Sus scrofa: one gene and its partner. The protein of the gene in region 1 interacts with the protein of each later gene in a pairwise test. Links are inferred from orthologs where the notes say so. Each region holds a gene or a part of one and is shown on either strand. Other genes may lie near its edges.

What was found.
Region 2: the proteins of DCX (region 1) and ZBTB5 interact in binary tests that used the Homo sapiens proteins (3 or more experiments, as listed by UniProt). The two-hybrid records come from large-scale screens. The link is inferred for Sus scrofa from reciprocal best matches to the Homo sapiens genes DCX and ZBTB5.

The regions. Positions count from the first base shown.
Region 1 is NC_010461.5:91,442,069-91,445,579, forward strand, and holds part of DCX (neuronal migration protein doublecortin), read right to left. Parts: exon of another isoform or gene 2,159-3,511; intron 2,141-2,158; exon of another isoform or gene 1,959-2,140; intron 1,918-1,958; exon of another isoform or gene 1,640-1,917; intron 234-1,639; 5' UTR 212-233; coding exon 1-211. UniProt on the Homo sapiens protein: Microtubule-associated protein required for initial steps of neuronal dispersion and cortex lamination during cerebral cortex development. May act by competing with the putative neuronal protein kinase DCLK1 in binding to a target protein.
Region 2 is NC_010443.5:238,174,412-238,178,530, forward strand, and holds the start of ZBTB5 (zinc finger and BTB domain-containing protein 5), read right to left. Parts: upstream 2,804-4,119; 5' UTR 2,218-2,803; coding exon 2,210-2,217; intron 2,203-2,209; exon of another isoform or gene 1-2,202. UniProt on the Homo sapiens protein: May be involved in transcriptional regulation.

The sequences.
Region 1 (3,511 bases):
CGTACACAATGCCCTTGAAGTAGCGGTCCCCATTGCGGTAGAAACGTACCTTCTTGGCTTTCTTCTCGTTGCTCAGTGCCTGCAAGGTTCGGGTTCGGTAGAAGCTACAATGGGCGCTGTGAGTGGGGCTGGGCAGCCCATTCATCCGTGAGCCTCGCATGTTCCTGGATGTCTTATCTCTTTCGTCAAAATGTCCAAAATCAAGTTCCATATTTTGGTGGAACCTCAGAGACCTGAGTGTTGGAGAAAAGGGTGGGGATGAAAAAAAGCAAAGAAAAAGGGGTGAGGAGTGGAGGGGGGAGGGAGAAAGGAATTCAAATATTAGCCAGATCCAGATCTGCAATCTGCTGCTTGTGAAAAGAACTGGTTGAAAAAAGCCCGTGACCCATCTGCTGCTTGCCCCTGACCTGCAGGAATATTGATCTTAATAGAGAAGAAGGAGGGGCTGGGGGTGCTGGTGGCTGGGGGGTTGGGGTGAGCAATAGGGAGGGAGGCACTTTGGGCGCTGTTCCAAACAGAGGCGAGGGAGGGATTTTGAAATAGCTTAAAATCCTACTGACAGTGGCTCCTATCAAATTGTAACTTCAGGCTAAATACATTAAAACTGGCATCTGTTTCTTCACACATGCCCACATGACTAACAGTTGTAAATGAATCCATAGCCTGACAAAATTCTCCTTGAAGAGAACAGAAGGACCTAGCCAAGGTTAGCATCTCTGGCTGGGGAAGCAATCTTTGCACCTCAGTAAAATGACTAGGAAGGGGAATGTTTTAATTTTAATCCAAACCCTCTCTCCTGCTCTAATGTGTGCATCCCCTCCCCCCAGAATAAACTGGGATTCTCTTTTAAAGGGACAGCCTCTAGGGAATAGCCAGAGTCTTTGTGCTATTCATCAACCCTTTCCCCACCAAGCTGGTGCAGCTATCCAACATTCATAAGAAATAAGCTGGAAAAAAAGGATTAGAAAAATCAGTTATTTAGCAAATTATTAGTTCTGCTTCACCCCTGGTACCATTTGGTCACAAAATCTCCCTCCCCCACCTTTTCCTAGGTGGTCTACCTCCCCCCCCCCCCGCCGCCACTTCCACAATGATGCAGCCCCACCTCTTAATGGAATAATTTAATTGTTGAAAGATTCCCAAATGAGTCCCTGGACAGCATATGGGACCTTTAGAAGCAAGCACACCTTTCATTGTTCTGGGTTTCTATCCTGAATGAAGGGTCATTTTGCCCTCACAGCAGGAAATTCACCCCAAATTTGTCTATTTCCCAGGTGTGTTACTGAGGCAAAAGATGGTTGTCTATCAGATTTGATTTCCCCCTTTTTGCAGAAAGAAAGAAAGAAGGAAGGAAGGAATGAAGGAGGGAAAGGAAAGGAAAGGAAAGGAAAGGAAAGGAAAGGAAAGGAAAGGAAAGGAAAGGAAGAAAGAAAAGAAAAGAAAAGAAAAGAAAGAAAGAAAGAAAGAAAGAAAGAAAGAAAGAAAGAAAGAAAGAAAGAAAGAAAGAAAGAAAAGGTAGATAGATAGATCACACTATGAAACCAAATACAACAGAAGCCCCAAAGGCTAGCCAAGGTAGTGACAGCCTCGGAAACAAACTATTAACATGCATCACACAGATGGGGATAAAAGGACTCACAAAGCAAGCAGGGCTCAGCTGCTACACACTGCCACATTGAGATATTTGCAAGGGACCAGGAGGACAGGAGATAAAGGAGGACTGGTGCCTAGTAGATTTACCAGGCTCGGTCCCTCTAATCTTCCAATGTCACCATGACCTGTGCTGAGCTCAGCATTGTCTCTGTCAGACAACCTGCAGCGTAAAAGACCCCACCTCCTCAAGACAAGTAGCAAGCATTTCCCCGGACGAGCGAGCAACGCTGGGCTCTGCTTTAGAATCTGGGGTTGTATTATTCTAAATCGACATCACAGTGAAAACAAAGGAACATCAAACTCACTTTTCCAAAGCAAAATCCCAGGTAGAGGCTTAGGGAAAAACTCCGATAGAATAAGGGGGGAAAAAGGGTTGGGGGGTGGGGAGAGAGAGAGAGAGGGAGAGAGAACACACAGAGAGAAGGAGAGAGAGTGCTTTGCCTTGTGCTTTCCCGTTTGACATCTGTTACATTCTGCCTGAAAATCACTCGAAAGCCCCACTCACCGGTTTTCTGCTGGTTGGGTGGAGATGCTGAGAGAAAGAAAACCAATCTCTCTATGCCTTTGTTGTCTGAGCTCCAAGCAAGAAATTCCTGCCAGGGTGGATAGATGCCTTCTAGGTCCTAGTGCCTTGTCCAGCTTCTCCCCTATAACTCAGGCTTAGTGAATCCCCCCAACCTCCTTTGATTAATTACATGCTTTTCTTTCAATTCACAGGCTGCATTAATAGCTAGAAAGGTTTCATTTATAACCAACAGGAAATTGCAGGGTAGCAAAAAGATTGCACAGGCAAGTTCAGAATGCTACAACCAGCAATGTACTAGCCTTTTCTTTTAGGGAATTGGCAATTTCACTTGGCCAAAACCTTGGCTTCATCTGCCTGGGGGCTAGACTCAGACACTCGAACCAGGCTTCTTAGCAATGGTAGCTCTCTTCCTTTCACCTTCTTGAGAGAAGAACGACCAAATATGCAAATTCTTTAGGGCGTTTTAGTTCATGCATTCAACAACTGGTTCTTGTGAAATAAGGTTAGTGGAGTAGACTAAGAGGGAGTAGGAAAGAGACAAGGGAAAATCGTTCCAGAATTTCATGGAAGATGATGTTGAAGAAGGATCCCAAAGATCTCTTAGCTTGGTGTAGTAATTTTGTCAGTGGGATCTGCAGCATTTACCTTCAAGAGTCGAAGAGTTCAGATCTAACCTAGAGACATTTCCATGTGATGGCTACAAAACAGACATTAACAGCTATCAACTCAAACTGCCTATTTGTTACTAATTGGCTTCTTTATATCAAATATGTTATAAAGGAGGCAACCATATTGAATTCAAGAAAGCAGGCCAAACTATAAGACAAAAGAAAAGGTTGAGAAACTCCTGTGGGGGTGGCTACCATCTTCACAACTGAGGCTACATGCATTAATATGTAGCAACTTTGAACTATCATGGTGCCATTTTTGCTTGGCTTTCAGGAAGCTCAAAGCTAATAGCATGAACATGAATTATCTTCTATCCGATTCCTAGTATAATTAACCCTCCTTTTTAGATATAATGCTAGATGATTTATAGTTAAGCACTCGCTATGCTCATGTTTTACTGTAAGCTGCCTCAAAGTAGGATAAAAACATGATTTTTTTTCCTCTGGAAGGTGATGGCTTAGCAAAGTCTAAGCTATCTATGTTACTGGGGTGGTCAGTGTCAAGTGTGCAACCTGCGAAGTCAAGTTCTCCCAACATTTTGCTGCTCTCACGGTTTCTAAATGAGTACCTCAGGGGACAACATGTGCCTGCCCCATCTTCTTCATTTGTTTCTGCCCTACCTTGTGGCCACCTCTTGAAAATGCAAGGTTATTCAGGTCAAGG
Region 2 (4,119 bases), on another chromosome or scaffold:
TTAGAATATCACAAAGAAAATTATCTACAGATAAAATAATCTTAAATACTACAATACTACGACAATAATCTATATTACAATAAAATGTTAGCACTCCAACACAATTCCTAATCAGTTTGAGCTTCCGAAAGATAGAGCTTTTAGGAGTTCCTGCCGTTATGCAGTTAAGACTCCAGCTGCAGCAGCTCGGGTGGCTGAGGCGGCAAGGGTTTGATACCCAGCTGGGTGCAGTGGTTTAAAAGGATTTGGCATTGCCATGAAGGTCGGAGCTGTGGCTCGGATGCAATCCCTGGCCAGGGGCCTTCCATATGCTACAGATGCAGCCACAGAATTTTTAAAAAGATAGAGCTTTTAGTAAATAGATGTATAATTAATCAAACAATAAGGCACCCTCTCTCCCCATCCCCCACCGCCAAATAGAGTCTGGAGATTAAAAGCCACTATTCAGTGATAAAAATGATGAAAACAACTGTAAGAGCAATAGTCCCTCAGAAACAGCTGGTCTCTTAGCATATGAGAAGTTGACTTCACCCGTAGACAAAAGGCTCAGTGTAGTGTTACATTCCAGCCCACCTGCTGCACTTACAAAATCTGGCTCTGTTAGACAACATTTGAGAAATGTTAAATACAGGAAAAAGAGAACTCATATGCTTAAAATCAACAGACAAGAAAATATTTGTTTACAACAAATTTGCATTAAAAATAAATAAAAGGTGACAACAAATATGGAATCAATATCTTGGGTTTTTCTTTTCTCTTTCCATAGAGGCAGATTCATATCTCACTACACGTAAGATAGTTTTAACTCTTACCCACACTAAAGAACTTCAATTTAATAAAATTCATGCTAAGTACTTTATTTTTTATTTTATTTTTGTCTTTTTAGGGCCGCATCTGCAGCATATGGAGGTTCCCAGGCTAGGGTTGAATTAGAGCTATAGCCGCTGGCCTACACCACAGCAATTCAGGAACCAAGCCACATCTGCGACCTATACCACAGCTCACAGCATTGCCAGATCCTTAACCCACTGATTGAGGAGAAAGATCAAACCCACATCCTCCTGGGTACTAGTCGGGTTCCTTAACTGCTGAGCCACAATGGGAACTCCCATGTTAAGTACTTTAAATACTAAACATTTACATACATTTTGTATCCAAGTGACTTTTTAAAAATGACTTCAACTTCTTGTGACAGTCTCTTTTGAGAGCACTGAACCCTAAGTTTAGGAAAACATCCCACTCTAAGATTCTTTTCTTGCAAATCTTACCACTTCCAGAATTTTGCTAAACACCTCAAATAGCCAGAATATGGTCTGCAACTATTTCCAGCTAACTATACCTTGTCCTGACACAACTTTTAGGAGAGAAAAGGCAAATCCAAAAACAAGTTGACTTCAGGACTCTTTAAAAAAAAAAAAAAAAAAAAAATCCTGGTTTGTTTATTTAGCAGAACGCAAGAGACCAGAACAGGTCCTCGACCTGTTAAGTCTTAACTGGCAGGTCACCAAGCTGGCAGTGGTGGCACAGCCAGTCTTCCCAAGTTTCCTGGGATTTCCAGAGGGGGTTAAAGCAATAGTGGGAGGCCTTTCCTTGGTTTAGGGGCTTTTCTTTAAAATTCTCTTCCCTCACCGCTAATCTTTTAGCTTACCATCCTCACAACCCAAATCATAGCACTTCACTGAATTCAGTTTCTCCAGAAAATGAGGCATTCAGCCCACCTTTTCAAAATTATCTAAGGCACAACAGCCTATATAACGACAACAAATCATCATTGATGAGTAAGGCACAGCATTCTCTTCAACCTCTAAAGAAAAGATCCCAATGTATGTCATATCTTCTACCTACTAAAACAGAGAAGCATAGAAACACATTTTGGAAATATTTTTGCTTCAATTCCTGAAGGTGAAAGGTTTCTTACTTCCACTAATTAAAATTAACCCCAGAACCCAAGTATACCACTTAGCAATGAAGCTTTTACTGCGCCTTTATGTAAAAATTTTTTGCCAAGTTAAATATTCAGGATTTGTGTCCTATTCAGAAATTAGCTTCCACAGTATCGTCCACAAGGCCAGAATACAGACTGACTTAATAGCAAATGACCTTTTTGGAAGGAAAAAAACTAACCTTCAACTCCCCTTAGTTCACTGCCTAACATGCATAAACCTGTATGTCCTCCAAACAAGGGAGGAGGGGGACAGACTGTTCTTACCACTGCATCCCCTACACCTCCTAGCACGAAGCCTGGAAGCAGTGGGTTTTCAATAAATGCCTATAAACACTTTAGTCCTTTTAGTTGCGGCATTCCAAAACACTGGCTCCGCCCCTCCTGGTTCAGCCGCCGGTTCCCGATTCCAGCTCGCCTTGGCCTTGCTCTGGTGAAACGAAACCTCGTCGCTCAATGAGACCCAGGACAGGGGCAAGGAAGCCACCCGACCCCATTCCGCAGATTCTCTATTCACCCTGCCAGGGTGCTGGTCTTTCCCACGCGATCCCAGGAACCAACGTAGCCCGCCCGCAGATCAGAGGGGGCAAGAGCCCCCGCCCCACTCGGCGGACAGACAGCCTGGCGTCGGGACGCGGGGGACGCCTGCGCAGAACACGCCTCCCACCCGCCTTGGCCCCTCCGCTCTGAGGGTAACAATAACCCTCAGGAAAGACAGGCAGGGCAGACGCGGGGGGGCACCGGTACGCTTCGGCGCGCGCCCAGACACCTAGACAAGACCCTGATCGCGCCGCCCACCCAGCTCCCCCAGAGCTCAACTGTCTCCACGTGAGCGCGCCAGCGCGCGCCACCACCGCTCCCGCTGACAGAGTCGCCTCACCTGAGCCGGGCTCCGCCCCCCTTCTCGCTGGAGGAGGCGGTGACCCTTCTTCGATCCGACCCGACAGTGTGGCAGAAGACCGGAACGTCCAGGCTGGCTCCTCGGTGATGGGATTTCCTCCCTCTTCCGTCCACCCCGCCTCTTGTTGCCCAGCTCCTTCAACCCCTTCGCCGCGGCACTCTTGAGAACACCGCGGCGGCTGCACACAGTAAACGGAAGTGACGCAACGCGAGATCGCCTACTCCGCGGCATTTCTCGTCCCCTCCGGCAGGGGTGCAACCAATCAGAAGGGGAGAGGGCGGGGCCGGGACAGAAGTGCAGCCAGCCGGCGCGCGGTATCTGGAGGAATTTACTCGGCCCCCGGAACACTGACCAATCCGCGGTCCCAGGAGCCTCGCTGTGTTTACTACCGACAGAATCCGTGAGCTCTGTGACCAATCACCGTTTGCCTTACAACACATAAAACTGTTATCAAACGCCTTTGAAGGCGGGATTTATCACTAAGCGGTTCTAGATTTAGACTGTAGAAAAGCGACTGAGTGTGGAGGCCAATCCAGGCCCATTGTGGGTGAGACCAGCTGGTTTTCCTAATTCCACCAATCACAACCACGACTGCCTTTGGTCTGAGCCAGGGGTAAGGCGAGCCCGCGAGGTAGTGTGTGTCCCACCACTGGCTGGACTTGAAGGATTTCCCTACCTTCTCGGCGCCCGGCACTTCGGTGACCACCGGCTCCCTATGGGATGCGAATTTCCTTCGTGGGACCCACTCACGCACGGTGTCCGAGGTTGAGTTCCCATCTCGTAGACTTTGGAAGGAATAAAATATAATTTCAGGAAGCTATATAGGTTGAATTAAGACAAAATCCAAGCTAAAGATGTTGAACCAAAAATTCTGTTCATCTCACAGAAGTTGGGTCCGACGCAGCCCTACGTCCAATCTAGGTGCCAGCGTCTCGAAGCGCTGGTGCCTCCCGGCTCCCCACTGGCACTTTGCTCTGCATTACCTGCCGCAGGTCAAATAAGCCTGCAGTCTCCAGAACCAAACCTCTAAAGAACAGCATTGGGAATGTGGAAGGGTGGCGGACTTCGAAGTGACGCTCTCAGAAAAGAGTAAGCTCCGGGTGGCTTCCAGACCTCCAGGTGCACGCTCGGATGGAGAGGCCAAGCTCTGAGGGACACTGGCTGGAGGGCTTCCGAGGGCACCGGGCCCTGGGGCAGAAAGAAGCTCTCTTTCCCTGGGTGAAGAGGAGGCAAGGAAGCCTGGGAGGGGCCTTCCCCGACGGGAAGTGTAAGGGGC